4 linked regions of the Zea mays genome follow. The main gene of each other region encodes a partner of the protein of the gene in region 3 in a complex. Links are inferred from orthologs where the notes say so. Each region holds a gene or a part of one and is shown on either strand. Other genes may lie near its edges. The genes, in order: 30S ribosomal protein S13, chloroplastic-like; 30S ribosomal protein S31, chloroplastic-like; rps11; 30S ribosomal protein S6, chloroplastic-like.

What was found.
Region 1: rps11 (region 3) and 30S ribosomal protein S13, chloroplastic-like share a complex: the UniProt entries of both Arabidopsis thaliana proteins name them as parts of the 30S ribosomal subunit. The link is inferred for Zea mays from reciprocal best matches to the Arabidopsis thaliana genes rps11 and EMB3137.
Region 2: rps11 (region 3) and 30S ribosomal protein S31, chloroplastic-like share a complex: the UniProt entries of both Arabidopsis thaliana proteins name them as parts of the 30S ribosomal subunit. The link is inferred for Zea mays from reciprocal best matches to the Arabidopsis thaliana genes rps11 and PSRP4.
Region 4: rps11 (region 3) and 30S ribosomal protein S6, chloroplastic-like share a complex: the UniProt entries of both Arabidopsis thaliana proteins name them as parts of the 30S ribosomal subunit. The link is inferred for Zea mays from reciprocal best matches to the Arabidopsis thaliana genes rps11 and AT1G64510.

What each region holds. Positions count from the first base shown.
Region 1 is NC_050096.1:271,761,484-271,769,828, reverse strand, and holds 30S ribosomal protein S13, chloroplastic-like, read right to left. Parts: upstream 5,494-8,345; 5' UTR 5,377-5,493; coding exon 5,281-5,376; intron 4,687-5,280; coding exon 4,447-4,686; intron 4,167-4,446; coding exon 3,990-4,166; 3' UTR 3,751-3,989; downstream 1-3,750. Other genes in the region: uncharacterized protein LOC100281127, read right to left, coding at 379-446, 833-907, 1,428-1,526, 2,537-2,650, 2,753-3,244; gtk16 protein, read right to left, coding at 8,281-8,345. UniProt on the Arabidopsis thaliana protein: Located at the top of the head of the 30S subunit, it contacts several helices of the 16S rRNA.
Region 2 is NC_050098.1:170,387,069-170,395,755, reverse strand, and holds 30S ribosomal protein S31, chloroplastic-like, read left to right. Parts: upstream 1-3,339; 5' UTR 3,340-3,397; coding exon 3,398-3,593; intron 3,594-4,810; coding exon 4,811-4,875; intron 4,876-4,957; coding exon 4,958-5,089; 3' UTR 5,090-5,302; downstream 5,303-8,687. Other genes in the region: putative RING zinc finger domain superfamily protein, read left to right, coding at 1-32, 141-207, 341-563, 1,840-2,050; fructose-bisphosphate aldolase, cytoplasmic isozyme, read right to left, coding at 5,971-7,010, 7,926-7,953.
Region 3 is NC_001666.2:74,861-82,053, reverse strand, and holds rps11 (ribosomal protein S11), read left to right. Parts: upstream 1-4,370; coding exon 4,371-4,802; downstream 4,803-7,193. Other genes in the region: rpl22 (ribosomal protein L22), read left to right, coding at 1-205; rps3 (ribosomal protein S3), read left to right, coding at 267-941; rpl16 (ribosomal protein L16), read left to right, coding at 1,083-1,091, 2,134-2,535; rpl14 (ribosomal protein L14), read left to right, coding at 2,645-3,016; rps8 (ribosomal protein S8), read left to right, coding at 3,156-3,566; infA (translation initiation factor 1), read left to right, coding at 3,646-3,969; rpl36 (ribosomal protein L36), read left to right, coding at 4,070-4,183; rpoA (RNA polymerase alpha subunit), read left to right, coding at 4,865-5,884; petD (cytochrome b6/f complex subunit IV), read right to left, coding at 6,102-6,576.
Region 4 is NC_050096.1:303,986,253-303,994,242, reverse strand, and holds 30S ribosomal protein S6, chloroplastic-like, read right to left. Parts: upstream 5,207-7,990; 5' UTR 5,092-5,206; coding exon 4,669-5,091; intron 4,022-4,668; coding exon 3,776-4,021; 3' UTR 3,652-3,775; downstream 1-3,651. UniProt on the Arabidopsis thaliana protein: Binds together with bS18 to 16S ribosomal RNA.

The sequences.
Region 1 (8,345 bases), on a different chromosome or scaffold from region 3:
AACTTAGCGAACCCTATCAACAAGGCCCATGCATTGCTGAACAAAAAGAGGCCTTAGTTAAGTAGTTACAAAATAAAAGAATTTTCCAGCTTTAGTAGTTCAATGAGAGAGCAAAACTCATGATGGAGGAGAATATATGAGATGAGGCAACGACATACTGAGGTGTTTGGTTTCTAGGGAGTAGGGACTAATTTTTAGTCCCTCCATTTTATTCCATTTTAGTTCCTAAATTATCACATACGGAAACTAAAAATTTTCGTATTTGATAATTTAGGAACTAAAATAGAATATAATGGATGGACTAAAATTAGTCCTTAGAAACCAAATATCCACTAATGCGACCACTAGAAGCCTTTCGGAGGGGGTAAATATACTAACCTGAGCTCTTCATCAAGATAAGTAATCTCAAGTTCACCTTTACCACTTCCGGGTGCTTTGATCGGTATCTAATAATAGAGAAACTAAAATAACATTAGTTCACCTTTTTTGCTACCTAAAAATCGACTATGCTGTGTGTGTGTTGGGTGGGTGGGGGTAGGGGAGTTTCTGAGAGAGAACATACATAATGAGTATAAACAGAAAAAAAAAATCTAGCAATAGAAGTGAAGGATTACATCAGATCATAGAGTTTATATATGCTGAGTTCATGGTACACTAGCATGCCTATATGTTCCCTACTCAGCAGTGAATTACTTTGGTAAAACAAAAACAAAAGGTAACAGCTCAAGCATAAACTAGACAACATGAATTATAGACTATTAGTGTAACGTCCAAACTTTCTTTGAACGCCAAGCAACATCTAAAGTAATGCTTGGAGGATAATACATCTTACCAAACCAAATATCTTGAAGTAGTCAAATTTAACTGCCACTCTTCTAGAATTCAGAGGTACCAAGTTGGCAGTAACCTGAGAAGACAAAACATAGGTAAATCACGCTAGCACCATGCTTCAGGGAATCAACCAACACAAGTAGTACAAAACCAGCAACAATATTGAGTATGCTGCTAGGAATATATTTGCAGGCAAAAGCCTAGAACATTACATGTAGCATAGCAGCTGTTCAATGGGAAATGCAACATAACTTCAGAAGAAGATGAGTTATATAGTTGCAAGCTGACACTAGAAGAAGGTTCAAACATGGAAATGAACATGTTATTAAAATCAAGCCAACACTTCACTAGTCACTACTGTGATCAAAGCTAACACGTTCCTTTATCCAGAGCACAAGACAGTGTCCTACTTTCAAAAACTGCTTGGCCATAAGCCCATAACACATCAGAAAGATCTCAGCCACATGCCACACAAAAGGTACAGCGTGTCGTTCCCAGATGAGAACTCTTCGCTTCATAACATAGAAAGGGATTGAAGAATGCTAAAGAGAGAGAAAAGCCAAAAGTACACCGCAACAAGTTCTAGCAAAAATTACCTGATTAAAGTAGGGCCAAGTTTCCATGTTTTGGGCTCTCAAATTGTCGGCGTTGATTGATTGGTAAATCTTCCCAAACGGCCTCAGATACTTTGGCCTCTGCAGTAGAAAGTGAGTAGAATTTGTCATTCCTGTAAAAAGAACTATAACTATTTTCTACTTCAGCAGCATGCCAGGAAGGCCGAAAAAAATATAAACTATGAACCGAAAGTCCTTTTCTTCCTCGAATTTAAATTCAAATTGCATAAATTCTACATACGTGAAGATTATCACTTGTTGCCAATTTACCACTATCAAACAATAAAGCACACAATCTTAAGAATTTCTACAGTGCTGATGCATGTATTCACCTTTAAGCTTATTAAAGCATCTCCACTTATCCCGGTGCCCTAAATTAGACTATAAAAACTCGATCTGCGGGGATAAGACAACCCCGGATATTATATTAAAAAGACCTTCTCACTCAGATCGAGAAAATCCCCGAACCTCTGCCCCACCCATTCGCAGCGACACCGTAGCTCATGTGAGAAACGACCGCGACCGGGACCGAGCCTTACACCCGTGCTTTGGCGTGGGACAGACGATGGGATTTGTTTAACCACAACCTAAAATTCGCTTCTATGGGGAGTCGATCCCAGAACCTGAGGAGTGTTACTCAGGCCACCTAACTAACTCTGTTAGAGGCTCTTTCGTCCTAAATTAAACAATAGAGATCAAGCTTAAAAAAAACTGCTCCAATAATACCTTATTTTATAAAAAAATGTCAAAAAATATAGGTCACCTCCTGAAGTGCCACAAATATATTGTATGTTATTGTGATGTCTCATGTCTAGATCTAAACGAATGGACACTTTATAAAACTTTCATTTCCATTCCAAACGAACATAGTAGATTAACATATTTATGCTAATCACTTGATTTGGAGCTTTACCGTTGGAGCTTGATTTTTTTTGTTGATGCCCTAAATTCTATAAATATATTTATTTTAAATTTTTAGGACATTTTTACATGGTAACATTGTTAGAGATGCTCTTAGAACCTATAAAAAAAAGAACTTACTTTTCAGAACTTCAGAACCTGTACATTGGTGAGGCAAAAAGGAAATGAACCTGTGGCTGCAGTATACTTGTGGAGGTGGTATAGAGAAGCTCCCATTTGCCGTTTAGGAGATCGGACTTGAGCGGCTCCTTCACCTGGTTCACCGCCTCCAGTTGCTGAACAATCTGAAGCAAAAAAAGAAAAAAAAATACACGTGAGTCTCTGCCATCAACCAATTACCAAATGCACGGTGCGTCCCTCGTAGCTACTAGTTTCTTCGTCCTCACCTGCTCGACGCGCTCCTTGTCCTCGGGCGTGGCCTCGGCGCCACGGTCCAGCGGTGCAATGGCGTCGAGGAGCTCCTCCTTGAGCCTCATCGCCTTCTCAGCGTCCTTCTCCCCCTTGTTCCCTGTGAAGAACGGCGGCAGGAAGGGGAAGGACGAGATGCCTGCTCTCCACCTGCCACCGCCATCCCTACCGCCGACACCCGGGGCCGCGGCGAGCGCGAGGCCTGGTGCTCTCCTGCGTTCGCTGCTCCGCGACGACGCGGGAAGTTGGGAGGAGGCGACGACGACGACGCTGGGGCCGGGGCTGGCGGCCAGCGGGCGCGAGGATCCGGGCGCGCACGAGACCGAGAAGGCGGGCGCCATGGCACGGCGCGACCCGGCACCGCCGCACGGGGAAGCGGAGGGAGACGGTGGAAGCTCGAGCGGGATTTTTGCGTGCGATTGCGGTGGAAGTCGTGTGATTTTCAATAGCAGGCCAGCAAGGCAGAGCATATCGCGTTTATTTGAGTGGTGGATAGAGCGCGCGGGCGCGGCGGCCCGGGTGCCGCCGGATGGGGGAGCAGGTGGTGGTGTCCGTGCACCGGTGCAAGCTTCGGCAAATAGCACACCACGGGATCACAAATTCACAGTCATCCGTCATCCGTGCTCTGCAAGTTGGGGGCTGATGAATGCCAGGAAACCTTAATGGCTTCAATCAAGTGATTCAAATCATCTTTATTTGAAACCAAACACAATTTAACCATCGTCCTTATCAAGAAAAAAAACATAACCATCGACGGGTAGCCAAAACTTGTTTTTTCAACTACATTTGTTAAGGGGAGAGATCTCGAATCATAACTCTTCGCCACATGATCATCTCGTGCAGGGATGAAAACAGGTATACCAGTGGCAGGTGAATAATCCCCAGAACACTGGATCTGGTAAATAGTAATTCGTCAGGAGCAGTCTGGACTCCTTGCATCGAGCATAGGTTGGGACAGAGGAATACAAATGGATGTAAACAAGAATTTGATCTTCATTTATAGAACCGACCCATATGAGCTAGTATGTCATTGCTACAAAATCTGCAGCAGCTGATGGCTACCCCATGATTTGTCAATGGCAGCATAAAAGCTCGAAACAAAACACCCAGCAGTAGTAGCGCTACACACACACACACACACACACACACACACAGAGAGAGAGAGAGAGAGAGAGAGAGAGAGAGAGAGAGAACTTCAATACATGGCAATACGATTTATTCATCCTGGGAGGCGGGTGACTTCTTCTTGGCAACTGAAGCCCTCTTTCCCTTAAGTGTCCGGCAGTTGTTCTTTGTCCTCTGGCCACGAACTGGGAGTCCAAGCTTGTGCCGGATGCCCTTGTAGCACCTAATCTCCTTCAGCCTCTCAATCGCCACACGGTTGAAACGTTTCTGTAAAGCATACCAAACAGCAGTGTGCCAGCTCTCAGCGTTTTCACTCCCTTGGAGTCCAACATCGATATAAAACTAAACAGTTAGGACAGTCAGGAATCATCTATGACTAAGGAAGTGAAATTAAATACGCAGACCTGCAGAATGAACTTCAAAGCTTTCAAGGAATCATTGATATGTTAACTAAGTAACTATGGTAACCATACAAGTCGTTAATCATCATGAACTACTGAATCAAATAACTGCAGCGAATAATCGACAAAGGGATCAGGGACGTTACAAGGTCTCCCTCAATCATGTACTTGCCAACCTCCTTACGGAGGGTGATGACCTCCTCCTCGGAGAGGTCCTTGGTGATCTTGTTATCGAAATTGAGGTCCAGGAGGATCTGGCGTGAGCGTGAGCGTCCAATGCCATGTATGTACTGCAGCGAGTACTCCACCCTCTTGTGGTTTGGAATCTCAACACCACCAATACGGATGCACTCGATCCGCAAGCCACCGTGACCGATTCCTCCCTTCTGTCAGGCCACCCAACATACAGCACAATCAAAAACCGCAAAATAAACCACCAACATGAGCCTGGGTATGAAGGGTCATTCAGATGGGGATAAATTAATGATGTATCGAAGTTCATGTTTGTGTCGTATTCAGGCTGTGCGCACAATGCAACAGCGATAATAAACAACAGCTCCTATAATCAGGTTCAGAATTTCAGATCCACATCAAAAGTCTAAAGAAACATCCTTTTCTTTGCTACTAGAATCAGTCATACTGCTGTACCATGAAACACTAGCATTACTGACAATGCGCTAGAAAATTCATATGCATGAACCAACACGCGCCATTTCCTACCAATGTATTGAAAATTAGCAGTTCACAGAAGACCATCCTTCCAACGCTCCTGACACGACCATCCCAAGTAGGCCTTGTTTTTGGATACTCTCGTATTCAGCACAATCAATATGTATTGATATAGATTAGAGTGAAACTAAAAAACTAATTTACACCCCATTCCAACAAGGCCGTACAGGGTTAGAAAAACAAGACACCCCAATCAGACAAGCTCCCTGGACGCAGGGGGGTATAGGGGTATAGCAGAAGGCGGCACTAACCTTAGCGGGGAAGGATGCGGAGGAGCTGCGGCCCCGGGTGGAAAGGGACAAGGAGGAGGGTGCGATGGGGACGGAGACCATGGAGAGGGTCGCCATTTTTGCTCTCCTGTGGAGCCGCGCGGAGGGCGAGAGGCCTGTGCGTCCCCGGTCTATCGGATAGAAAACCCAAGGGCGGATGATGATAAGGTTGCGTATGCGTAGGCAACCTTCGATGACCTAGTGGCCTTTCCCTATGTGTGTTTTGGACTCGTTGGCCCAATAGAAAATATAACTTTTTTCTACTCGTTCGTTCTAAAATAGTATTTCCTCTCTTCTAAATTAAAATTTATCTTATATTCATACAATATTTAATGTATGTATTTTAAAAGTGTCTAGATTTATCTTTATTCATTTAAATATAGACATAAACACTGAGAACTAAAACAACACATATATAAAGTAAACCCTTCAGATCTTTGATGAATCCAGCATTAGTCTACAACGAATTTTATTTTGGTACAGAGGGAATATTATTTAAGATGAGTATATATATAATGCATCAGTTTAAAATTTACAAAACCCACCAGGCAAATCATATACACACATAAGTACATAACCTCTATTGACTAGCCCTAAGGGCTAGTTTAGAAACTTAAATCTTCTCCTTGATTCCCGAGGATTCCCCTCAATCCCTAAGAACCTCAGAGGTGATTTAAGTTTCCAAACTAGCCCTAAATATTCCAAACAAATTATATCTAGACTTAACACACCATCAAAATCCATAGTTCATATTGCTGGATAACTCTCTCTCCCTTAGAGATGGCAATGGGTACCCGCGACCCGATACCCGATGGGTATTTACTCCATTAGGGTATGTATGTGGCTAAATATTCTACCCGTGGGTCTGTTATTGGGCAAAAATCTTCACCCAATGGGTAAACGGGTATTAGAACGTTCCGCCTTCACCCATACCCGTTAACCCGTGGGTATAAAATACCCAATATAAACTTAGCCCAAGTATGAACTTTGACTTTAGTCATCCATCTTTTTTACTATTTAACAACCTTTTAGGCCATAATGTCATAGAAGGCTTAACGACAATTTAATGACCATGTAATGTGCTATGTAGTATTATCCTAGTGTTACTACTTTATCCAATTATCTTTGGTGTGTTGAATGGATGGTTAAATGATACTAGAAATTTTGTAATGGTATTTAGATGGATATACTTGACATTTTTATCATATAATATTTTGATAGATGTTTAGCTTTTGTGGGTACGGGTGACCCGATGGGTGACCCATACCCACATGAGTAAGGGTATGAGGGTAAATCCATACCCGCCAGTGTATATGGGTGACCCGATGGAGTTATTTTTGTGTCGTGAGTATGGGTATGGGGTAGTAATACCCGGTGGGTATTTACCCATTGCCATCTCTACTCTCCCTTACTCAAATCCAATGGACAATATTATCTAGATCATCTATCACCCCTCCCTCCCTCCCTCCTCACAACCTCGCGGCCCTCAGCCCTCAGCCTTCCACTCCCTCCGCATCCCCGCCGTCGCTGTATCAACTCCTCCCCTCGTGCCGTCGTCGTCGATCTCTCTCCTCTATAGGATCATAGTGTTAGCATGGGCTATATGTTAGTTAATAATTAAGATGTCAGTGACACATCAAAGTGTATGTAAAAGTGTCAAAAGATTGAAAGCACCTCGCACAATAGATTCAAGCGTAAGGAGAAACGTATGCAAAAGACACAGTATGGTTTCATACTTTCATCGAATTACCAAGACATTGATGTCGAGTGAGTCGCAGCGGTATCTTAAAATGTATTTGTTTCCCTTCTAGATTATATAAGTTGGATTATGGTGGAAGGGTAAGAGAGTAAAATATCACTTTGAGACTATAAATAAGCTAAAATAAGCTAGTGTTGGGTGGCTTATTTTAGCTTTTTTGTGATCAAGGTAATATTTTACTCTCCTACTATTTCAGCATAATCCAACTTATATATTCTAAAAGGAAAACAAACAAGGCCTTAGGATGATAATGTTTGGTTTTTGTGTTTGGTTTAGGAGCCGGTTGATTAAAACGGAGCTAGCTTCCCGCTCCCTCTACACGAGCCGGATGATACCGCTTGATTTTTGTGTTACTCCTATTAGACCTACTAGGCCTTATTCGTTTACATCAATCTAGCTTTTGATTAGTATGGATTGAAATTAAATCTATGTCACATTTCATGGCCTAAAATAATTCAAGTCTACTCAAATTCTTTTATACGGTTAAACGTATAATAGATTATAACCTAAGGGTTTGAGAATTTTTTAAACAATGAAAGACAGATTCTATATATAGCTCGTTAGGTATGGAACAAATCTATAAAGATATTACACAAATTTATATTTATATTAAAATCTATGGATCAAAAGAATAATTAGCTTTAAGTGATACATGGATTTAATCCCATCATAGGATTAGATTGAGTGCAAGGTATAGATTCACTCAATCTAGAAGCGGATTAAATCTATAATCAGATTTCAAATCTAGAAGCGAATTAAATCTATAGTACGATTTCATCTCTTGTAACCGAACAAGTTCTTACCCGATGTCCCCTAGCATTTTATAAGACACCCCGAGGGCACGACAGCTCCATGCAGCGATGCCCGGCTGTTGCGCCCATTTCTTAAAACACAGTATTTTGATATTGATATAAAGTGCAAATGTGCAATGCAGAGGGCGATACGAAGGGCAAGACAGCCCCCCCCCCCCCCCCCCCCCTATGTCAAGATTCAAGAACTTCTTACACAGGATTCAGACAATAAGTATGCACAGATACAGGTCAATAATGAACAGGAGACATGCAGATACAATGATGGCATCATCTAGTATTAGAAAGCATTCGATTCGATTTTACATCTCTACGTATAGAATTGAAAATGTATACGATATCAAGAAAACAAAAGGTAAAAAAATCCTAATACATTTTGAACATCTAAAGAAAGTATGTAGATGCTCTAAGACATCATTCGTATGTTCTCTTCCTTTTCAGGATTGTTGGAACGACAACAACAGATCCAATAAGGAACA
Region 2 (8,687 bases), on a different chromosome or scaffold from region 3:
ACCTTGGCCTGCTCGAGGTTCTCGTCTACAAGGTACCGACGAATAGCACTTGCCGAGAGAGTTTGCTGAATCCACGACGAACTGACTGGTATCTCCTGAGGCTTTGAATGTTGACACGGTCTTGGTGGTTGAACACGCAGGTTTATGTCGATGAAGATGCCTCCATATCCACCATAGAAAGGAGGGCGAGCCTGAAGGAATTCTACAGTATGCTTACTATCCACCATAGAAACTAGTGATTAAGAAGCTTTTTTTTTCTGTTCAAGATTTTTTTTTGTTGATGCTGCTGCTGCTGCTGCAGCAGTGGTTTAATATAGTTTTGGGACCCCATGGAATGCAGCTATCATATACCCTTTCTTGCAACAACTGGAGGACAACTTGATGGACAAGGACTGCAAGGACAAAGGGTGGTCTGCTGCTGCCGCCGCCGGCGGCGGCGGCGGTCGGAAGCTTGTTGCCGAAGATGACAGGGAGGATGAGTGTGGCATTTGCCTGGAGACCTGCACCAAGATGGTCCTTCCGAATTGCAACCATGCCATGTGCATCAACTGTTACCGAGACTGGTATTGCTCCCTGTCGCTCTTGCTTATCCGTTTGGGGGGTGTATTATTTAAGCAACAATATATCTGACTGAGCCTGGATCGTTATCAGTTAGGGCCCCGATATCACACGCCACCATTAAAAAAATTCGCTAGCGGTTTGAACAGACTCAATGTGATGTCGATTTTAAAGATAAGGTTCGAGGAAACGAGTAAGCATTGACGCAGTCTTGAACTCTTGATAGCGCAAGGGTGGTTCAGTAATGATTTTCTTAAACTTCTCTGTGGGCTACTTCTACTCACTCATTGTTGGTGGGGAGTGGGGAGGGGGTGGTTGAACAACCCATCATAGTCCCAATGCACTTCTTTTTTCATGTTCACCATTTAAAGCCTCCATTTAGTCAAATTCAGATGCTACATTCTCCTGAACTGAATGTTTGTGTTTGTGTGTGTGTGTGTGGGGGGGGGGGGGGGGGGGGGGGAGGGGGGTTCCATTTTAATCTTCGCTCCCCTCATGTGCGGAGTTTCTTCTATTTGTTTTTTACCACCATGATGGCATGGGAGTCCATGTGTTTCTTGTTCTATATTTTTCAGCCTTCTGTTTGTCAAAACTAGGAGGGATTTTATGTGATCTAATGACCATGTGCCATGTCAGGAGATTCATTATCTTCATTCCTCCAGCAGTCCAGCTGAATGCCAGAGATTTGCTGGACAAAGTTTATGATACTTTGCGCCGTTGTTAAAAAGCCCCCACGTTTCGTCAACAATTAGCAATGGTCCATTAACGGAATCGAAAGCAGACAACTGGGAGTGCTGTTGTAGCTTTAATGAAGTCGTTAAACCATTATTCACCAGTGCCAGCCAACTGCTAAGTTACAGACAAAAAAATAATAAAGGGATAAAAGGGGAGACACTCGTTGACGTGGCATTCTAAATCCTAAATGATTGTATTCTCTTAGCTGGCGGATCATGCTTGTGTACCAAGGATGTCATCTGCAAGTCATTGTGTTTTGATACATGTCAGGTTGTTGGTTTCAATGATACTCATCAATCGGCTGCATCACTCCAAGTTTGGCGAAGTCAATAGTAGCTTTCACAATAATGTTGCTTGAGTTAGATTAGATTACGGATAAACTCAATGGGATTGGTTATTGCAGTAGATTCTTTTGGTGACCACTGGGCCCATCTATTGTTGTAGCGATAAGAGGGATCATCCCCAACTGTTTTAATGACCCCATCCTGTACTGTTCCAAGCAACACCAATGCTGAACGCTGTAACCTGGATGTTCCGTGACTGCAGGTACACAAGGTCCCAGTCATGCCCGTTCTGCCGCGGGAGCCTGAAGAGGGTCCGGTCCAGAGACCTGTGGGTGCTCACCGGCGACGACGACGTGATCGACACGGTGACGCTGGAGAAGGAGAACGTGAAGCACTTCCTCAGCTTCATCGACAGCCTGCCCCTGATCGTCCCCGACAACATGCTGCTGGTCTACTACGACTACCTAGTCTAGCAAGGCTCCTCCCCCCACCCCCCACTCTGAAGCTCTGGAAGAGGAAGGGGGTCTGGGAAGAAGACGCGGCGTACAAGCGACAAGGGTTACCCGCAGCCGACCATCCTCTGCGGATCGAGTTGGCAAAGCGAAGCCGTTGCCGACCAACAGACGATACTCTCGTGGGCATGCCACGCCGTTGCGCTGGCTTTATTGCATGGTGGCGTTGCTCGCTGTAATGGTTGTAAATAAAGAAGGAAAATGTCTCGGGTTTTATATATAATATACTAGCTTGACATTTCTCGTCTGGCGAATTGCCGGACTGTTCAGAATGAAGAAATCAGGGGGCCTCTACTTCTCTGCTCTATATATATCGTCTTCAATTCTCGTGGCCACCTGCACCATTCATAATCGTGAGCGTTGTTGAGGATTCATCCGTTCCTCTCCTTCTAGAGGTTCCAGAAGAAAGAAGACACATGTGGTCAGGTCATGCCATCGAACCGTCTCCACTCCGTGCAAGGCACTTTGCTTGAGGCGTTCTCCCACCACTACATTTTGGCCATCGGTTTTTTATTCATGATTGGGCACTGAAACTGAAACTCTGCTCGGTTGACATGAACCTGATAGCGACCGTTCAATCTGTGCTGTACAGTAGTGCACAGGTGAGTGCCTGACAGTGACCTTGGCAACTCCTCCATTCGGTATTTCGGTTGCTGAAATGAATTGGAATCGCTCCAGCCACACGCTCCCAAATACTACTAACTCCAGCTCCAGGACCGAAAATTGCCTGCACGGGGGTGGGGGACAGCTCGGGGCCGCTCCTTGACGCTCACCCTACCCTCAGGGTTTGTTGATGCACAAGCCATGAGCTCATCCAGTCCGGAAAGCTGGCACCTTGCACGGGTGGTGCCGTGAGGCCGGCCACCATGGGTTCAAGTGTCTGCCTCCACCAGTCCACCGCCGAAATCGAGATTCGAGAAGGACCAGAACCCTAACTCAGCAGGAGAAGCACGGGCCGGAGAACGACGCTGGAGCATCTAGGGTTTTGTTTTCTGTTAGCATGAATCAAAGCTAAGCTTTGGTCATCTTAATTATATTAATTATCAAAAAAAAGAAAGAGAAAGAAAAGGATCCAAGACCTGACCAGACTCGACGACGGCCTGGCTAGGTGTGTGCACCATACTTTACAGTAATGGCCGATAAGGTTACTTCTGGCCCAGCCCACACCAGCCCTGCAGCCCATCTTAGATGTGCGCTGTGGCTCCAACTGCGAGCCCTTTTATCCCTTATCCAACCTGATCCACCACACCACCATTCCCGAGCACACTAGTCTCTCTTCCCTGCGCTTGCTCGCTCCTTCTTGCCCCCATGGCGCTGCTCGCCGTCCAGGGCATGGCCATGTCCACCGCCGCCGCGGCCCTCCCATCTCACAACCACGGCGCCGTCTCATCCTACGTCTCCACCTCCTCCTACGCGCTCGCAGCCTCCGCCGCCTTCCCCCGCGCCCGGGCTGCGTTCGCCGTCGGCGCCGTCTTGTCGGCCACCGTCACTCCAGTTCTTGACGGTAATTAAACAGCTACCTCCTCACTCCCCTTGTTTTTGTCCGATGTAGGAGTAGTTTCTTTCTAACACATGTCACGAGCAATGGCTACTGTTTTCCACGCAATAAGGGAGAAAAGGCAATGACTACTATTACACTGACACTTGGGAAATTCGTTCCAATTCAATCGGGATTTTTCTTCTTTTTATGAAATAGTCAAGGGATTTATTACTGAAATGTACTCCCCAGAAGAGATGGAGGTTGTGATGCTGTTAGTCGATCTGGGTCAACTAGACTGACCAAGGAAAGCATCCAGTTTTTAACAAACTGGTTCATGAAAATTGTGGTGGTTCCAAATATACTAGCTTTTGTCCCAGTCTATAGAAGTTGGATTCTCAGTTTCTTAAAAACCAAGAAGCTAATCCCATCTAGCTAAAGGCAGTTTATAGAAATTGAGGTGGTTCTAAAAACTATTAACCAGTTTTTTTATAAATCACTTTATAGAAACTGAAGTTAGAAACTAGATTCTTAAAAACTAGGTTGCTTCCAAACATGGCCTAAGGGTCTGTTTGGAAGCACCTAGTTTTTTTTATAGAAATTGACGTGGTTCCAAACTAATTTATAGAAATTGGATTCCTAGTTTCTTAAAAAACCAAGAAGCTAGTCTTCTCTAGCTAAAATCAATTTATAAAAATTAAGGTGATTCTAAACACCATTAACCTTTTTTTTTATAAACTAGTTTCTAGAAACTGGATTCTTAAGAGCTTAAGTTGTTCCACACGAAAAAATTACGGTATCGAGGAGCAGGAGCATATATATGAACTGAAAACTACTACTGTAGTAGATTATTAAACCTTTACCGGTTGACTGATTCACTTCACACGGTGTCAGGAGTGAGTGCCAATCAAGGAAGCTGAATCTCTTGTTTATCACTACCGCCTATAGTTTTGGTCGTCTCTGTTGCCACTGGCCTCAGCTGTTGTAAACACTTGTTTCTGGTTTATTAATACAGAGAGTCAAAGATGGATGCTTCTCATGCGTGTACTTCAAAGAAGTTTTAGTTAATCATAATTTGAAATCAATTTCTGAAATTCTAGTGTCCATAGCCTGCTTCAGGATTTTATTCTCTGATTGTACTACGAACCCAACTGGGGTGCTGTCCCTTTTGGCCTCTGTTTATATCAATACTGATGATCCTGTGGACTGACAGACAGTTTTAAACTTTATCTGGTCTTGCTCAGTCTACTGCGGGAGAGGGGACAAGAAAACGAAAAGGGGCAAAAGGTTCAACCATTCATATGGCAATGTGAGTGCTCCAGCACAATTTACATCGCATTTTTGGTTTTTTCCCCCTGTTCTGTTTTATTTAGCTGTCTGATCATGTCTAGGCGAGGCCGCGCAACAAGAAGAAGGGAACTGGGCCTGCGCGGCTCTTTGCCCCTCCTGCTCCTCCAAGGAAGGATCAGTTCGATGATGGGGAGATCATTTCAATCGAGATTGACGAGGACATCCTGGAATAGGTTGTCCGAGTTCTGCCTTGCTTTATATTTGCCCTGAGCTTAATTGGCCTAGTTTGTACCAAATCAAATACTACATATTTTAAGTAATTATTTCCTCGCCTATAATTATCGATGGGTAGGCTGCCACACTTTCATTTGGCTAGTAATGTTCCTACTACTGACTGGGTTCTTTATTTTCCTTTCCAGCTGCTGAGTTCTTTACTCTCTTCAAAATGAAACTGTGTCGAAATAAGTTTTTTTTAGAAGATATTAAATGATTCATCTAGTGGTAACGGAGAGATTACACGTTTCATTTGTAAGGGGATTAATAAGATTTAATCTCTTTCAATCCTCTTCTAACCGAACAATCCAGCCCTAACAGGTAAAACAAAATCCAACTAGCGATTTATTCATACGTCAGCAATGTGCAAAGATCTTGCGTGCTGAACTAATGATCGTGTTGTGTTATTAATATGTGTTGCAATGATGTAAGTTTTGTTTCAAACTTCAGCTAACACTTTCAGGTCTCTTGCTATGCCAATCTCTCACGAGTGTCTCAGCAAAATATGATCCAAACAAGTTGCTGTCTCCAACTCAGCATATATGAATTTTTGCCGACTCCAACTCAGCATATAGAATTGTTTTTGCCGATACATAGCCAGAATTACAGCATAGTTGATAGAACAAAAAAAGGGAGCTGCTCGATTCTCCATCGGCAGGACCAACTTACACGAAATTTAACAGCAAAGAGACTAATTAACATACAAATATAAAGATAACCATCATCCCACATAGGAAGCATGTTTTTTGGATGTCCGAAAATAAGCTCTAACGAGCAAACCACACTCCGCAACCTAGCTCGTAGGCAGGAGTTCCAAAACGGGCACGCAAAGAGAAGCAACTCAGTACTTGTAGTCCTTGACGTGGAGGCTCTCGGTGTCGGCGGCAGCATCACCCTTGTAGGTGCCGAGGGTAGCCTCAGAGTTGGCCTTGCACCTGGCGAGGAAGGCAGCTCTAGCCTTCTCCAGGTTCTCCACCTTGCCAGCCCAGGCCTTGAGGGTGCTCGCCTGGAGGGCACGGCCGAAGGAGAAAGACAGGGACCACGGCTTCTTGGTGCTGAGCTTGTTCATGGCATTGAGGTTGCGGGTGGCCTCCTCCTCGCTCTGTCCACCAGAGAGGAAGACAACAGCAGGCACAGCAGCAGGGACGGTCCTCTGGAGGGTACGGACGGTGTACTCAGCAATCACCTCAGGGGTCACCTTCTTGGAGTCGGAGCCTGGAGTCACCATGTTGGGCTTCAGGAGGGTACCCTCCAGGAGGACATGGTGCTCGTTGAGCGCCTTGTAGCAGGCAGCAAGGACGGTCTCAGTGACGTAAGCGCAGCGATCAATGTCATGAGGGCCATCAACAAGGATCTCAGGCTCAACAATTGGCACCAGACCATTCTCCTGGCAGATGATGGCATAGCGAGCCAGACCCTGAGCGTTCAGGTCGATGGCAAGCTGTGATGGCTCATTAGGGCCAATCTTGAGAACAGCGCGCCACTTGGCAAAGCGGGCACCTGCCTCGTAGTACTTGGCGCAACGCTTGCCAAGGTCGTCATGGCCTTGGGTGGTGGTCTCCTTATCAGTGCCAACAACCTCAATGGTGCCCTTGTCAACCTTGATGCCAGGGAGGACGCCTCCCTCCTTGAGGACATCAACAAAAGGCTTGCCATCCTTGGTCTTCTGGTACAGGGTCTCCTCGAAGAGGATCACACCGCTGATGTACTGGAGAGCACCAGGGCAGCAGAATAGGAGCTCACGGAGGGCACGGCGGTTCTCCTCAACGTTCTCGACATTGATGCTGGAAAGGCGCTTGCCAATGGTGCCAGTGGACTCATCAGCAGCAAGGATACCCTTGCCGGGGGTGCCAATGTAGGCAGCATTCTTGATGAGCTCATCTGCAAAACAATATGCATAATAAGCATGGCTATCTACCAGGTACCAAGGCTATACTGAATAATACAAAATGACTTCCATTATCAAATCAGGAGGCCATCCTGAATAATACAAAATAAACTTTAATTATTAATTCAGGAAGTTTACTGTTTATTAACCAAAAACTGCTTTATATATAATTGTATCGGCATAAACATCATGACTAAAAGGAACCACAGATCAAGATTAGACTAGCACAAAGCTTTAAACGATTTACATATCTGACTGTCCTAGATGTATATGCGTCCAGCATCTATTCTAGTAGCCATGAAACAACAGGCAAATATATTTAGATTGAACAAACAGGCTATATATAATTTGAAACAACCATATAAAAACTAGTCCCTCTATTTTTGTATAAAACTTGCTAGCAGGAGAATATGTTTCATCAACTGGAAACAGGACGAGCAGATGCATACCACTATATGTATGTATAAAATCGAAGCAAAAAGTAAGCAAATCCCATATCCAAACCGATCAGAGGCATCACCTTTTGGCAACCACCAAGCCCCTGGCGGGCACACGACAGCACAATCCTGTACGGATCTAAAAAAAATCCACAAATCCTACAACTGAACGAGTCTCTCAGACCTATACGAATCGTTAGGCTAGGCCACCAGATTTCTGTCCACACATTCCATTTCAAACTCCGATCTGTGGACAGTACAGTCTACAAAGAGTGTTCTCCCGTCCATATAGCCGTTAGCCTTAGCATACCCATCAATCACAGCGAGATCTGAGCGCACCAACAACGAAACAACTAAACAGATCTACGATACACGAGACCTAAAGGCATCACAAGCAGATCAGCAACGAAGATCAGCAACGAACGAGGATACGATCACGACAGGGGGGGAGGAGGAGACGATGGGACGTACCCTTGTACTTTCCGCAGTAGGCCGACATGATCGATGCTCGACGCGACGGAGGCTACGAAGATCGCAGGCGAGGTGGTGTTGGGAGGAATGGTTAAGGCAGGCGGGGGATGCGGACGACGACGGGTGTATTTAAAGACGGTTTGGGCTTGGCCAAGGGGAAAGAAACCAGCGAAAGGGGGATCTGATCTGGGTGCGCCACCGGAGCCGGCGGATCGAACCTTGTGCGGCGCGCCCGGTTCGGCGCGGCGCTGCCCCCGGTTTTCATGTGCAGTCTCGTCGACGCGGCTTTCTGGTTTTTTGTTTTGGTTGGGCTGGGCGGCCGGTTCTCTTTCTCCACGAGGCATATCTATCTATTTTTTACCATATATTTTGGCTGCTATATACAACATAGTGTAAAGTGCATCGGTGACATCGAGTCTTTTTTGTTGTTAACTGGTTATTACAAAGGCGCTTTCCAGCTTCGAATTATTAGAATAACTATGGTTTCCGTACCTTCTATATGTGGGATTATCATTTTAGTAAACACCATTCCAAGACAAAAAAAAGATAATAATTAAAACATAGAGTGCAGTTGGATACAGCATGTGATAATCATATTTTCCAATGTTTTTTTTGTTAAATATTTATTTTCGTTGTTTATATACGTAGATTCGATTATCATAGCTAGGGCCTTGGCCCGAATTTTTTGTATTTTAGCCCTTAAACAGAAGTAAAATCACGTTTAGACCTAAAAAAATTTTAAATGCAGTTTTGGACCCTTAG
Region 3 (7,193 bases):
CTTAAAGTTGGTTTATTCGGCAGCAGCAAATGCTACTCATTATAGGGATTTCGACAAAACGAATTTATTCATCACTAAAGCCGAAGTCAGTAGGAGTACTATTATGAAAAAATTCAGACCTCGAGCTCGAGGACGTAGTTATTCTATAAAAAAAACGATGTGTAATATAACAATTGTACTAAATATAGTAAAGAAATCAAAATAATCTTTAGATCAATCTAAGATTTCGATTCCCAGTAAAAAAAAAAGAAATATAATAGAAAAATATGGGACAAAAAATAAATCCACTCGGTTTCAGACTTGGTACAACCCAAAATCACCATTCCTTTTGGTTCGCACAACCAAAAAATTATTCTGAAGGTCTACAGGAAGATAAAAAAATACGGAATTGTATCAAGAACTATATACAAAAGAATAGGAAAAAAGGCTCGAATAGAAAAATGGAATCAGACTCAAGTTCTGAAGTAATTACACATATAGAAATTCAAAAAGAAATCGATACAATCCACGTCATAATCCATATTGGATTCCCCAACTTATTAAAGAAAAAGGGAGCAATCGAAGAATTAGAGAAAGATCTCCAAAAGGAAGTTAATTCTGTAAACCAGAGACTTAATATTGCTATCGAAAAGGTTAAAGAACCTTATAGACAACCTAATATTCTTGCGGAATATATAGCTTTCCAATTAAAAAATAGAGTTTCATTCCGAAAAGCAATGAAAAAAGCTATTGAATTAACTAAAAAAGCGGATATAAAGGGAATAAAAATCCAAATTGCGGGTCGTCTAGCAGGAAAAGAAATTGCACGTGCCGAATGCATCAAAAAGGGTAGACTACCCCTCCAAACAATTCGCGCTAAAATTGATTATTGCTGCTATCCAATTCGAACTATCTATGGAGTATTAGGTGTCAAAATTTGGATATTCGTAGAAGAAGAATAACTAACCATGTCTTCCCATTCCGCCAGTGATAGAATAAAAAAGACAAAACCTTGTTTTTCCAAAAATCCCTAAAAAAAAGAAGAAGTATCCCTCTTTCTATAAGATTTAATGAAAATTAAGAAATCTTTTAATATAATTGCTATGCTTAGTGTGTGACTGTTAGTTTTTTCTTTAGGGTCAAAAATGGAAAAAAACTTAGTAATGATAGAAAATTAACTAATAACCAACCTATTGCTTCGTATTGTCGAGATCCTAACTAAGAAACAGTCACTATGTGAATAAATACATCTATCAAAAATGAGTAGATCTATCATATAGTTGTAGCAACTGCATTTTTTTCTCTACAAAAGAAACCAGATTCTAGGCTATGAAGCAAAACTAAAGGGTAGTGGATAAAAGGAGGGATGATAGATAGAAGGAAGAAGAATAAGAAAGATATAGGATTCCCATATGTATGGTCTATGAATTCATCATAAAAAAAAGGCAATGTGATAAAGCATCAATATAATAAAATTCTCAAAAAAAAGAGAGAATTCATCGTAACTTGACTTTTGAAACAACAAATAAAAATATAAAGCAATAAATAAAGAGCAGCCGGGTTAATAAAACTGAGAAAATTGACTCGGAAAAAAAAATTGGAAGCTCCATTGCAGGATTCAAACCTAACCATTAAAGGAGAAGCTGTGGGAACGACAAAACCTATGACTACATAGGATTTATTGAAAGAATCCTAACACTTCATTGGTGGATGGCGGACAAACCACAAAATTGCTTTATTTGATAAGGTTCTAAATTAACAAATAAGACAGGAAAGAGTAAATATTCGCCCGCGAAATCCTTATTGGATTAGAATACTTTACCACGATTCAATAAGAATAAAAAAAAAGGAGATTCCAAAAAAGGAAGGATTACATTTTATATAAATATTGAATTTGGATATATTCTAGATCTTCTTTCTTGACTATATATTTAATTTTTCTTTTTTAAGTTTAAGAAAGTCAAAATCAAAAAAACCTAACTTTTTCTATTATATATTGATGTGTATCTATCTATAATATTTTTGAATATTATGGAATTAGAGAAATGACATTCGCACGCTTCTCATTTCATTCGCGAGGAGCTGGATGAGAAGAAACTCTCATGTCCAGTTTTGTAGTAGAGATGGAACTAAGAAGGAACCATCGACTATAACCCCAAAAGAACTAGATTTCGTAAACAACATAGAGGAAGAATGAAGGGAAAATCCTGCCGAGGCAATCATATTTGTTTTGGTAGATATGCTCTTCAAGTACTTGAACCCGCTTGGATCACCGCGAGACAGATAGAAGCAGGACGAAGAGCAATGACACGATATGCACGTCGTGGTGGAAAAATATGGGTGCGTATATTTCCCGACAAACCGGTTACAATAAGACCCACAGAAACACGTATGGGCTCGGGAAAGGGATCCCCCGAATATTGGGTAGCCGTTGTTAAACCAGGTCGAATACTTTATGAAATGAGCGGAGTATCCGAAACTGTAGCTAGAGCAGCTATCTCTATAGCTGCCAGTAAAATGCCCATACGAAGTCAATTTCTTCGATTAGAGATATAGAACCCCAAAAAGGAATATTGAAGATAAAAAACCCCTGGTTTTTCTTTCTGGAAAGACAATATTTCTTTCATCCTTTTGCATTGAAATAACAAATGGAAATCCAAATAATATGATTCAACCTCAGACCCTTTTAAATGTAGCAGATAACAGTGGAGCTCGAAAATTGATGTGTATTCGAGTCATAGGAGCCGCTGGTAATCAGCGATATGCTCGTATTGGTGATGTTATTATTGCTGTAATCAAAGACGCAGTGCCCCAAATGCCTCTAGAAAGATCCGAAGTAATTCGAGCTGTAATTGTACGTACACGTAAAGAATTCAAAGGCGACGACGGTATAATAATACGCTATGATGACAATGCAGCAGTTATCATTGATCAAAAAGGAAATCCAAAAGGAACTCGAGTTTTTGGCGCGGTTGCCGAAGAATTAAGAGAATTGAATTTGACTAAAATAGTTTCATTAGCTCCTGAAGTATTATAAATACTAGTAGACGAGATATAGATCAAAGAAAAAATTAGTAGATTTTGTCTCACGTATATGCTTTAAAATCCTAAATTTAAAGAAAAGGGAAAACATGTTGATTATAGAAAAATTAGGAGGAACCTAGAATTAGAGTCTTATGGGCAAGGACACTATTGCTGATTTACTAACCTCTATAAGAAACGCAGACATGAATAAAAAAGGAACTGTTCGAGTAGTATCCACAAATATTACCGAAAACATTGTTAAAATACTTCTACGAGAGGGTTTTATTGAAAGTGTTCGGAAACATCAGGAAAGTAACAGATATTTCTTGGTTTCAACTTTGCGACATCAAAGGAGAAAGACTAGAAAGGGAATATATAGAACTAGAACCTTTTTAAAGCGTATCAGCCGACCTGGCTTACGAATTTATGCCAACTATCAAGGAATTCCTAAGGTTTTGGGCGGAATGGGAATTGCTATTCTTTCTACTTCTCGAGGTATAATGACAGATCGAGAAGCTCGACTAAACAGAATTGGGGGAGAAGTTTTATGTTATATATGGTAATGGCCCCACCTATAGTACCCAAATTCTATCTCGAACTTCCTATTTTGAAAATAAAAATAGAAAAATAGGAGAAAAATATATGACAGAAAAAAAAAATAGTAGAGAAAAAAAAAACCCGAGAGAAGCAAAAGTCACTTTCGAAGGTTTAGTTACGGAAGCCCTACCCAACGGAATGTTCCGCGTTCGCCTAGAGAATGACACCATCATCCTGGGCTATATTTCAGGAAAGATCCGGTCTAGTTCTATACGAATACTGATGGGGGATAGGGTCAAAATTGAAATAAGTCGTTATGATTCCAGCAAAGGTCGTATAATTTATAGACTTCCCCATAAGGATTCGAAGCGTACCGAAGACTCGAAGGATACTGAAGATTTGAAGGATACCAAAGATTCAAAGGATTAGGTTTTTCTGGGGTAATAACTTCCAAGTTTCAAAATTTAAGTGAAGAGACTTATTTTTTCCAAAAGAATAGATTCATAGTTTAAGAAAGGAATACCCATATATGAAAATAAGAGCTTCCGTTCGTAAAATTTGTACAAAATGTCGACTGATTCGCAGGCGTGGGCGAATTAGAGTTATTTGTTCCAATCCGAAGCATAAACAAAGACAGGGGTAATCTTTCGAAAAAGAAGCTTTTCTTTCTAATAGCTTTTCTTTCTAATTAAAGTAAAAAGTACCCACGGAAATGCCCAAATTGCAAATAAAAAAAATGAAAGTAAAGGATATATTTTAACCTGAAACGGATATCTTTGTATCTTTTTTCTTTTTGTTATTTCTAACTCATATTTATGAGATAATAAAATATGACAAAAGCTATACCAAAAATAGGTTCACGTAAGAAAGTGCGTATTGGTTTGCGTAGGAATGCCCGTTTTAGTTTACGGAAGAGTGCACGTAGAATAACAAAAGGGATTATTCATGTTCAAGCTAGTTTCAACAATACCATTATAACCGTTACAGACCCACAAGGTCGGGTCGTTTTCTGGTCCTCCGCAGGTACTTGTGGATTCAAAAGCTCAAGAAAAGCATCACCCTATGCTGGTCAAAGAACAGCAGTAGATGCTATTCGTACAGTGGGTTTGCAACGAGCAGAAGTTATGGTAAAAGGTGCTGGTAGCGGAAGAGATGCCGCATTACGAGCCATTGCTAAAAGTGGTGTACGGTTAAGTTGTATACGCGATGTAACACCTATGCCGCATAATGGATGTCGACCTCCTAAAAAAAGACGTCTGTAAAAAAAAATGAAACCGCTTTCAAGAGAAATAAACGATTCAATGATCAAATAATATAGTCTGTTATGGTTCGAGAAGAGATAACAGGATCCACTCAAACACTAGAGTGGAAGTGTGTTGAATCAAGAGTAGATAGTAAACGTCTTTATTATGGTCGTTTCATTCTGTCTCCGCTTAGAAAAGGTCAAGCGGATACTGTCGGTATTGCCTTGCGAAGAGCTTTACTTGGAGAAATAGAAGGAACATGTATCACACGCGCCAAATTTGGGAACGTGCCACATGAATATTCCACAATAGTAGGTATTGAAGAATCCATACAAGAAATTTTACTAAATTTGAAAGAAATTGTATTGAGAAGTAATCTCTATGGAGTTAGAGACGCATCAATTTGCGTCAAAGGTCCTAGATACATAACCGCTCAAGATATAATCTTACCGCCTTCCGTAGAAATCGTTGATACGACACAACCTATAGCTAACTTGAGAGAACCCGTTGATTTCTGTATTGAGTTACAGATCAAGAGAGATCGCGCATATCATACGGAACTCAGAAAGAACTCTCAAGATGGAAGTTATCCTATAGATGCTGTATTCATGCCTGTTCGAAATGTGAATTATAGTATTTTTTCTTGTGGGAATGGAAATGAAAAACACGAGATACTTTTTTTAGAAATATGGACGAATGGAAGTTTAACTCCTAAAGAAGCGCTTTATGAAGCTTCTCGTAATTTGATTGATTTATTTCTTCCTTTTCTACACACAGAGGAAGAGGGCACTAGTTTCGAAGAAAATAAAAACAGGTTAACTCCACCCCTTTTAACCTTTCAAAAAAGATTCACTAATCTAAAGAAAAACAAAAAAGGAATTCCATTGAATTGTATTTTTATTGATCAATTAGAATTGCCTTCTAGAACGTATAATTGTCTCAAAAGGGCCAATATACATACACTATTGGACCTTTTGAGTAAGACTGAAGAAGATCTTATGCAAATTAATAGTTTTCGTATGGAAGATGGAAAACTGATATGGGACACTCTAGAGAAGCATCTCCCAATTGATTTACCTAAGAACAAGTTCTCGCTTTAAATCATTGCAATTTTTTCCTCTTCTTCTTTTTTGAGTTAGAATAAAAAGAAAAAAGAAAGCAATTTGGCATCTTTGGCATAATCTATATTTTCGCGAAATGGATCATAATAAAATAGATTTTAGGTATCTAGGGAAGATTCACTTGGAAGTAACTATTTCCTAGATACCCATGCAGGGGACTTCGCGGTGGAATGAATCAACTCGAAAAATCCCTAAACTAAAAAAGACCTAAAGTTAAGGATTTATCAATGGGTAATGTTGCTCCAATACCTAACCAAAGAGCTACTGCAGTACCGATTAAAAAAACGGTCGTAGCTACTGGGCGACGAAATGGATTTTGGAATTTATTGACATTCTCTAGAAAGGGTACTGTCAATAAGCCCGTTGGCACAGAAACCATTAAGAGAACGCCCAATAACTTATTGGGTACTGTACGGAGTATTTGAAATACGGGAAAGAAGTACCACTCGGGTAATATTTCCAAAGGAGTTGCAAACGGATCCGCCGGTTCACCAATCATTGACGGCTCTAGAACCGCTAAACCTACATTACACGCAATAGTACCTAGAATTACTACTGGAAAAATGTATAAAAGATCGTTGGGCCACGCGGGTTCCCCATAATAATTATGTCCCATCCCTTTAGCTAATTTTGCTCTTAATACAGGATCATTTAAGTCAGGTTTCTTTGTTATTGGGATAGGTGAATTCTTTAGGATCCATCCCCCAAAGGAACCGGACATGAGAATTTTTCATCATCCGGCTCGAGCAAGAATGAAAGAAATAAGACCGTGGAGGATCCACAATAGAATAGGGGTATATAATGACTCAATGACTCAAGGTAAGAAAAACTTTATCAAATTATCTTTTCCGAAGTTGCGCCTATAACTACTCATTGAAAAGAATCCTATTCTTATGCTTAAATGCTCAATATCCAAGTGGGCTTACAAATTTGATCATGATCAATTGCTTTGTGGATTGTCTCTTGATTAGTTGTTGTTTATCCCCTCGATATCGCAAGTTTCTTATGTCCAAACAAAGTATTTACTTGTTACTAATAAAAAATCAAAAAGTTTAGCCTGCGTTCTTCCTTAGATCCCTTCTTTTACTCCGATAGTATTGCGGATCAAAATCGATGCAAAGAAAATGAATGCATTTCCATACTATAATAAAAAGTAAGTGTAATAAAAATTGAATTGGATCATATCACATGACTTATTCCATTTATACTCTATAGGATCTTACGGAGCCTGTTCATGGATGACATGGTTGGTGGGGTATGATCATAGAAAATATTCTCCTCGAGTGAA
Region 4 (7,990 bases), on a different chromosome or scaffold from region 3:
TTTGTTTCGTATACAGGCGTATCTTTATTTCTTAACTGGGGCTAAGTTTGGGCAGACTTTTTCTCCTAGTATGTCTGTATCATGAAGTCAAGTAGTCAACCACTCAGGTAGGTAATATAAAGTCAAATAGACTAACAATATGCACTAGTGAGGTTTTTGGCAAAAGTGAGAAGCTGAGAAGATAGCTTTCATGAGAATTTTTAAATGACATAAGGCTATAGTTGGTATATATAGCACATTTTGATTTCTAGACTTCCTCTAGAACATAAGCAAGTTTTCTGTAACTGTATAGGATTGCTCTTATATAGTGTTATTGTATTTTAATGGTTGTCATTTTGGTAGGGGAACAAGGCATGGTTGATGAAGCTCAGAAAGCTTTGGAAGAGGCAGAAGCTCTGAAAAAGGTAGCCAAATAGCCATTACTATGTGCACCTTAAGCTAGTATTTTAAAGTTCCTTTTAACAGCCAGTTTCAGTAGTTTTTTATCTTGCTGTGATCTGTCTCAGACAAGGGTTTATGACACTGGCATTATTACGTTTATCCTGTTTAATGAACTCTGACTGATGGAACCTGTTTTTGACTCTTATTATTAGCTGGCGCGACGTCCGGAGCCACCTTCAGACCCTTCTAAATATACTGCCGCTGATGTTTGGATTGTGAGATTCCATATAACCAATAATTATTTCGAATTAAGTTGTCATTGTTTGGTAGCGTTAGTTTGCATAGTATTGTCGTCTATCTTTTCTGTAGCATCATTTGATGATAGCTTTTGTGGCTTATTATGACGTAACCCTGGTACAAAGGCCTGTTCAAATCTGTGTCTTATATGCTGCCGACAATATGACATAATTCTTGGATTACTTTTTTTAATAGATTGTCAGATTCAATGTATATGTTTCTGTAGCCTAATCATCTAACGGGGAAACTGATTTTAAACATAAGTCAATCGTGTGTTGAAAGTAAATTAACTTGCCTAGTTCATATTTCTTGAATGTTCTGATCAGATATTGTTGTAGAATCCTTTCTCTGTCAGTTTAGCTTTTAAGTGCACAGTTCAATCTTTGTACACTGGAAAATTGTTCCTGTCATGTATGTACCAGCACATTTACTCGACAATATGATTTTCTTTACAGCGCGTGAATTACACATCTAGGGTTTCAATGTTTGTAAGGCACTTATTCAGCATCAACCCTTTGTGCCTCATGTTTTCAAATGACCCTGTTGTTATGTGCCTCATGTTTACATCATACATTGATATGGATTTCTTGGTAGGAATGGTTTGCACATGTAATTGAATTTACTCTTTAGAGGTTCTTGTGGTCTACACTGCCTTTTTATGGTTTAATGGAATAATGGTTGGCACTATTTTGTTACAGATTTTTCATCTTATTATCTGTGTCTATTCATCATGATGCAATGCTAGATACATACTGATGATTCTTTGTTTAATTTGTAGACCGATCAAAAGTTGCGCCTCTGTGATATATGTGGAGCATTTCTGAGTGTATATGACAAGTAATGCTTCTAGCTCTTTGCATTCCCAAAAATATCTGAAGCTGTCAAATTGAATATTTATCCTAAGCTGAAAATATTGGGTTTTTATTGGGTTTAAAAATTGCACCTTGATAAATCAACCTTGACTTGTGGGTTCCATCGGGCTTTTATCCCTAGCCTACCCCAACTTGATTAGGATAAAAGGCTTTGTTGTTGTTGATCCTAAGCTGAAAATATCTCAACAGTGATCGACGTCTTGCTGACCATTTTGGAGGGAAACTGCATCTAGGCTACATGCTGATTCGTGACAAACAGAAAGAACTTCAGGTAAATTCCTGCATGCCTATGCCCAAAGTAGAAGTTAAACACTGGAGATTTATGAAACAGATTAATACTTCCAAGGTTTCCAAACCTTAAAGACAAATAAAACAAAATTTACATTCTGTTTGGCCATCATCAGAATACGATAATCTTGGTTTATTCACTTATCCTCAATCTAAATCTATAAAGGTGCAATTTATCAGGTGCTGAGTGTAATGTACCGTTTTCTGCTTTAAAGAGTTACTCTGTTTTGGGCCTTTTGGCATCTGTGAGTTTTCTTATCTCAAGAGCCTCAAGGTTCTCACCTTCCCTCTATATATTATTTGATTCTCACATTGCCGGGCACTATGGTTATTACGATAGTCATTACAGGAATTAGTCCATGTCGCGTGATTGGAATCTCATGCGATGATCTTCATACCTATGGCTACAACAGTCACTGTCTGTTGACAAATGTAAGCATAGGAGCGTGCGGACCATGGTATGAAAAAAATCATGTTTACTTAATTGTGACAAACTGCTCATGTGTCTGCTTAGTATCGATTGTTGGGCAGAAGCTGGAGGTTGCCTTTTTACTGCCTGAGCCATATTATGTAGACCAGGTGACAAATAATACTGGTTAAGTTATCCTGAAAGCACACTTCTTTTGCCAACATTTTGCTGTAAGTGACAACTTGTTCTGTTTTCTATCTGCTACCTCCTCCATAAGTTTGCAAGTTACATTTTGCTGAAGCAACCTTGCCTGTAAAGTATCGCCCGCCCTATCTTTTGGAACGTTGTCTCTGATTTTAAATATGCCAAAATATCATTATCTGTACTGTCAATAAACAAAATACACTGTGGCATCTTGCAGGAGCAGAGAAACAAAAGGAGGACAGGCAAAACTGAAGATGATAGGCGGTATGGTATTCTGTATTCCGCATCCTCATTGTTTTAGTCAGCAATCAGCATCATGGTCATCTTATCTGAAAGCATGCCCATTTGGCTCTTTTAGATCTAGAGAGCAGAGCAAGGATCGAAACGGCCCGCCGTCCAGGGATAGAGATTCAGAAAGGAGAGACAGGGTTGAGTCTCGAGATGGAAGAAGAGATTATGATAGGGAACGCGATAGGCGTCACGATAGGGACCGTCGCCATGACCGCGACCGGGATAGGGATTATGACCGCTCCCGCGGATATGACTCAAGGAGAAGAGAGCGTTCACGCTCCAGGGAGCGCAGCAGGTATTGCTGAATAATAGGCACACTTTTTTATTTGAAACCCTTGTGCCTCACATCGTTGACTGACCCAGGTATTTGTTTATGATTTCAGGCGCCATGAGAGATACTAAATGTTACTCCATGGCTGACAGATTTTGGATTGCTGGCGTCTGTTCTGGTTTGTGTTGTGCTTTGTGTCTTATCTTCCGAAGTTTCCTGTTCCTGCTCGAGAAATCCGAAAGCCAATCTGCGTTCTGCATCATGTCATGTCCTAGTGTCGTACTGTTTAGTTATATGCCGAGAACATCTCTTTCATCAAATGAATATTTGGAAACACCAACGCACTTGACGCTAAATGGGAATGAAGTGTGGAGTATTTAAACGCCTCTGAAATCAAATGAAAGTTGTACTTGTACGAATCTCTTCCACAAATTGCACTGTATATGCTTGTACTGTTGCAGATTTACGATGGGTTTGGACTGTTCTCCATCCCCGGAGCGCGCTCAGGCTCGACGCTACCTAGCTACGGACCTTTATTTTTGGTACCTGATGAAACATGATGGTTTTAGGAGGCGCGGTGTTTCTCTGGCGAACGATGGCCGGACGTCCATTTTCGAGAACCACAAGACAAGAAACATATTCAAAAAAAAAAAACTCAACAATCATGGCAAAGGTGGATTCTTGTACAGCAGATTTCTTGTAGTATGGTATGTGAACAAAACAGTGTTCAGGGCCTGAAGGCGGAGGAGGCAACCCGTCTAACTAGACGGCCTTCCGCTGGCGGACCTTGAAGCTGGTGGAGCGGATGACGTCGTCGTCGGCGTTGAGCTTAAGCTGCAGGGCGTCCATGGACTCCGGCTTGGTGAAGTAGGTGATGAGGAGGTAGATGCCGTCGTAGTAGGTGGACGGCAGCCCGGTGCGGCTGTTCCTCTTCCTGATGCTGTATGCCAGCGGGATGACACCGCGGTTGAAGACCTCCACGTACATGGCGCCGCCGGCGACGAGCAGCTGCAGCACAGGAAAACACCAAGCTGAGCTGGATTGGAATGGTACGCAGATGGCATGTGACTGATAACAGCGATTAAGGGCCCGTTTGGAACTAACAAATTGTTAGCTAGGTTAAACCAGCTAATGGACTGATTGTTAACTCACAAATTAGCTGAGTTATTAGGTAGGGGGTGTTCAAACCTCTACTGCTATATATTCAAGCTGTTCACCTGTCTTTAATCCGAAACGGTTTCTTGTCTCTATATATTACCGCCGCAGCATCTGACTTCAATGTGAACAAACTGATTAGCTCTAGACTAGAGTGAGTTTCTAACAGAAACAGTGCCTAACATACATGGTGAATTCAGGATAGGATGGCAATTAACTATGGCGGATCCACTTTTATACGTTTAGAAATCCTAATATTTATTGGATGAAATTCGAAACACTCGGAACCCTTTTAACATTCGTCTCGCATTGCTCAAGTATGATACCAGCCTGTCCAGAAATTATCATCTGTCTGCTCTCTCTGCCATCGGAACAGCAAATGGTAGCGAGATATGCAAGAGGCAGAGGTGAGCCGATCGAGCCGTGCCCGTGTTACGCTGCTCCATCCATCCAGTTAGCTATAGTGGCAGCCAAACGGAGCGGAGGCAAACGCAAATTACCTCCTCGTAGCGCTGGATGAAGGCGAGGCGCTCCTCCTCGGACATGTCGGGGCGGAGCACGACCATGGTCTCGTACTGGCGGAGGCCGGGTGGGCAGGGCGGCATCTCGCGCTCCTCCAGCGCCAGCGCGGCTTCCGCGGCCGACATCCCGAGGCCGCCGCCGCCCAGCCCTAGCCCCGGGCCGAACCCCGACTCGTAGCCGACCTCCTCCTCCTCGTCCGCGCCGCCGGCCGCGGACATCGCCGAGCCGCCGTAGAAGGACGCCGCGTACCCAGTGGAGACCGCGCGGGGGCGGGCGAAATGGGAGGGGGCGGGGGAGGGGAGGCGAAGCAGCATCGCAGCGGGCGGGCAGGAGCGGAAGGGCGGCAGCGCGGCGGACGCGGATGCGGAGGAGAGCGGCAGCAGTGCCATGGGTGGCGGCATTGGAGGGGCCAAGGGGAGCCGAGCGGCAGGGGGGCGACGAGCGCGAGCAGGACAGGAGCCGGAGAGCGGGAGGAGGCGCTGACGCTGTTGGCGTCGCGTCCACTCGATAGATAAGGATAGGACGCCACGCCCTGTTTGGAGTTTGCACGGATTTTCATATTGGTGGAAAAACGGCCGGGTTGCCAGTTAAACCAAAATTGTTTACAACGTTAACTTTGTGTGTATTTCAACTATATGTAGTTATGCATTTCTTCTATGTTTTATGTGTATGATTCTTTTGTTGTCATATACGCAGCATGTATGTTTTCCTTTATTTACCCATAGAAAAAGTATAAATTATTCTTTTAATTATACTAATTGATTATCTAAGTTTGCTGTCCAAAGATTTAGGCAGCTAAAATACAATATCAACAGCGGACCTATATTTTTTTAAAAAAATCTCGAACAGTTGAATTGACTAAATATAGAGTAGACCTAATCTTCTCTGTATACGAGATATAAGGGGCCTGTTTGGTTCAGTTTTTTTCTGACCAGCTTTTCTGAAAATCTGGCTGTAAGGAGAATCTGGCTGTGGGGAGAATCTGAGTATCATTACGATTACGTGTGGAGGAAAATAAAGTTGTTCATAGGACTCAGGATCTAGAAAGTGATGAATTCATACTATTACAACGACTTAACCGATTATGTGTTTATATTGATTTTGGATGGTTTTTGTCCCAACGAATTTTATAGAAGCTGGCTGAAAAGCTGAGCGTTTGGCAATCCGCAGCAGCTTTTGGTGGCCAGAAGCTGCTAGAATCCGAAACAAACAGGACCAAGATAAAAGATCTAGTGAATTTGAACACCGAAAAACTTTGTGTGAAGGTCTGAAGACATTCTATTGTAGGTCAATTTGACAGGACTTCGACTCTACTTTCTCACGACTTCTTAAAGGGGCCAATAGCCGAAAACAACTCCTTGTAGAGCTCAAAAAGTCAAAGTCATTTTTTATAAAAGAGACACGATGCTGAAATATGGCTTTTATTTTTGGATTTTTTAAGCTTTTGCTCCAAGTTTTGCTGGTGTTCTCATTTTTACCCTTAGTCGTGTTTTTTTACTTAGTTTTGTCCTTCTAGTGTTATAGAGTAGTAGGGCAAAACTAAGAAAAAACACGACCAAGGTTAAAAATAAGGAATGAAGCAAAACTAAGGGTACAAATTTAAATAGCCCATTTTTTTACTTACAAAAACTTCAGCTTCATAGAAGGTACTCTACTGACAATAAAATAAGGAGCTAGAGCCCTTCTAAAAGGAGCCATATCAAATGAAACAACAGTATGAGTTTATTTGAGATTCACTAAAAATAATTTAAATTTTTGAAAAACTTTGTCAAACGATCTAGATCCACTAAATTTATATTTACCAAAATGGGGGATCTAAAGGCTAGATCCACTCTCTTGGTGAAGCTTCTCAATGGAAGCTCCAACAACATAAGTTTGATAGAGTTGAGAAAAGTTATCGACCACTACCATCGATTACAGTCCAATTCTTTCTAATTTTTCCACCTCTCTTCTTCTCCCGTCACACATCTTCTCTCTTCTAGCGTCGCTTTCTTCACCATGACATCTCCTCCCATGGCGAGCCCCTCCCTCGTTGTCTACTCGTGCCCGCACCATCGCTGGTCGGACCATGACCGTGAGGTCAATAGTGTGTGCCCTCGTTGGCTGGCAGCGCGAGCTTCTAGACTAGTGATGCACACTCCTTGACCGACTGGCCACCCCACCCCGTTTGGTTGTTTAGGTCAATCTTTGGATTATGCTGATGAGAGCACCTAGAGGGGGGTGAATAGGTGATCCTGTGAAACTTGAAAACTTAAGCCACAAAAACTTGGTTAATCGTTAGTACAATAATTGCCAAGTGGCTAGAGAGGAGTCAAAACACAATAACCACAAGAAATCAATCACAGAGATGACACGGTGGTTATCCCGTGGTTCGGCCAAGTACAAAACTTGCCTACTCCACGTTGTGGCGTCCCAACGGACGAGAGTTGCACTCAACTCCTCTCAAGTGATCCAATGATCAACTTGAATACCACGGTGTTCTTCTTTACTTTAATCTTTTCCCGTTTGTGAGGAATCTCCACAACTTGGAGTCTCTCGCCCTTACAATTGAATTTCACAAAGAAGCACAGAGTAAGGGAGGGAAGCAACACACACAAATCCACAGCAAGATGCGCAACACACGGTCAAGAATCGAGCTCAAAAGACTATCTCAAAGTTCTCACTAGAACGGAGCTCGAATCACTGAGAATGACAAACGAATGTGCAAAGACTGAGTGTGGATGATCAAGAATGCTCTAAGGTTGCTTGGATGTCTCCTCCATGCGCCTAGGGGTCCCTTTTATAGCCCCAAGGCAGCTAGGAGCCGTTGAGAGCAAATCTGGAAGGCCAATCTTGCCTTCTGTCGTCGGGTGCACCGGACAGTCCGGTGCACACCGGATACTGTCCGGTGCCCGATCTCCTTCCTAAAATGGCGCAGCCGACCGTTGCGGATCTGGGAGCCGTTGGCGCACCGGACATGTCCGGTGCACACCGGACAGTCCGGTGCCCCCTTCCGACCGTTGGCCCGGCCACGTGTCGCGCGCAGATTCCGCTGCCGACCGTTGGCTCACCGGACAGTCCGGTGCACACCGGACAGTCCGGTGAATTTTAGCCGTACGCCGTCGGTGAATTCCCGAGAGCGACCTCTTCACGCCGAGTCAGCCTGGCGCACCGGACACTGTCCGGTGCACCACCGGACAGTCCGGTGTGCCAGACTGAGCTGAGTCTTGGCTGTACACAGCCAAGCCTTTTCCACATCTTTTCTTTTCTTCTTCTTTCTGTTTCTAACACTTAGACAAGTATATTAGTACACAAAACCAA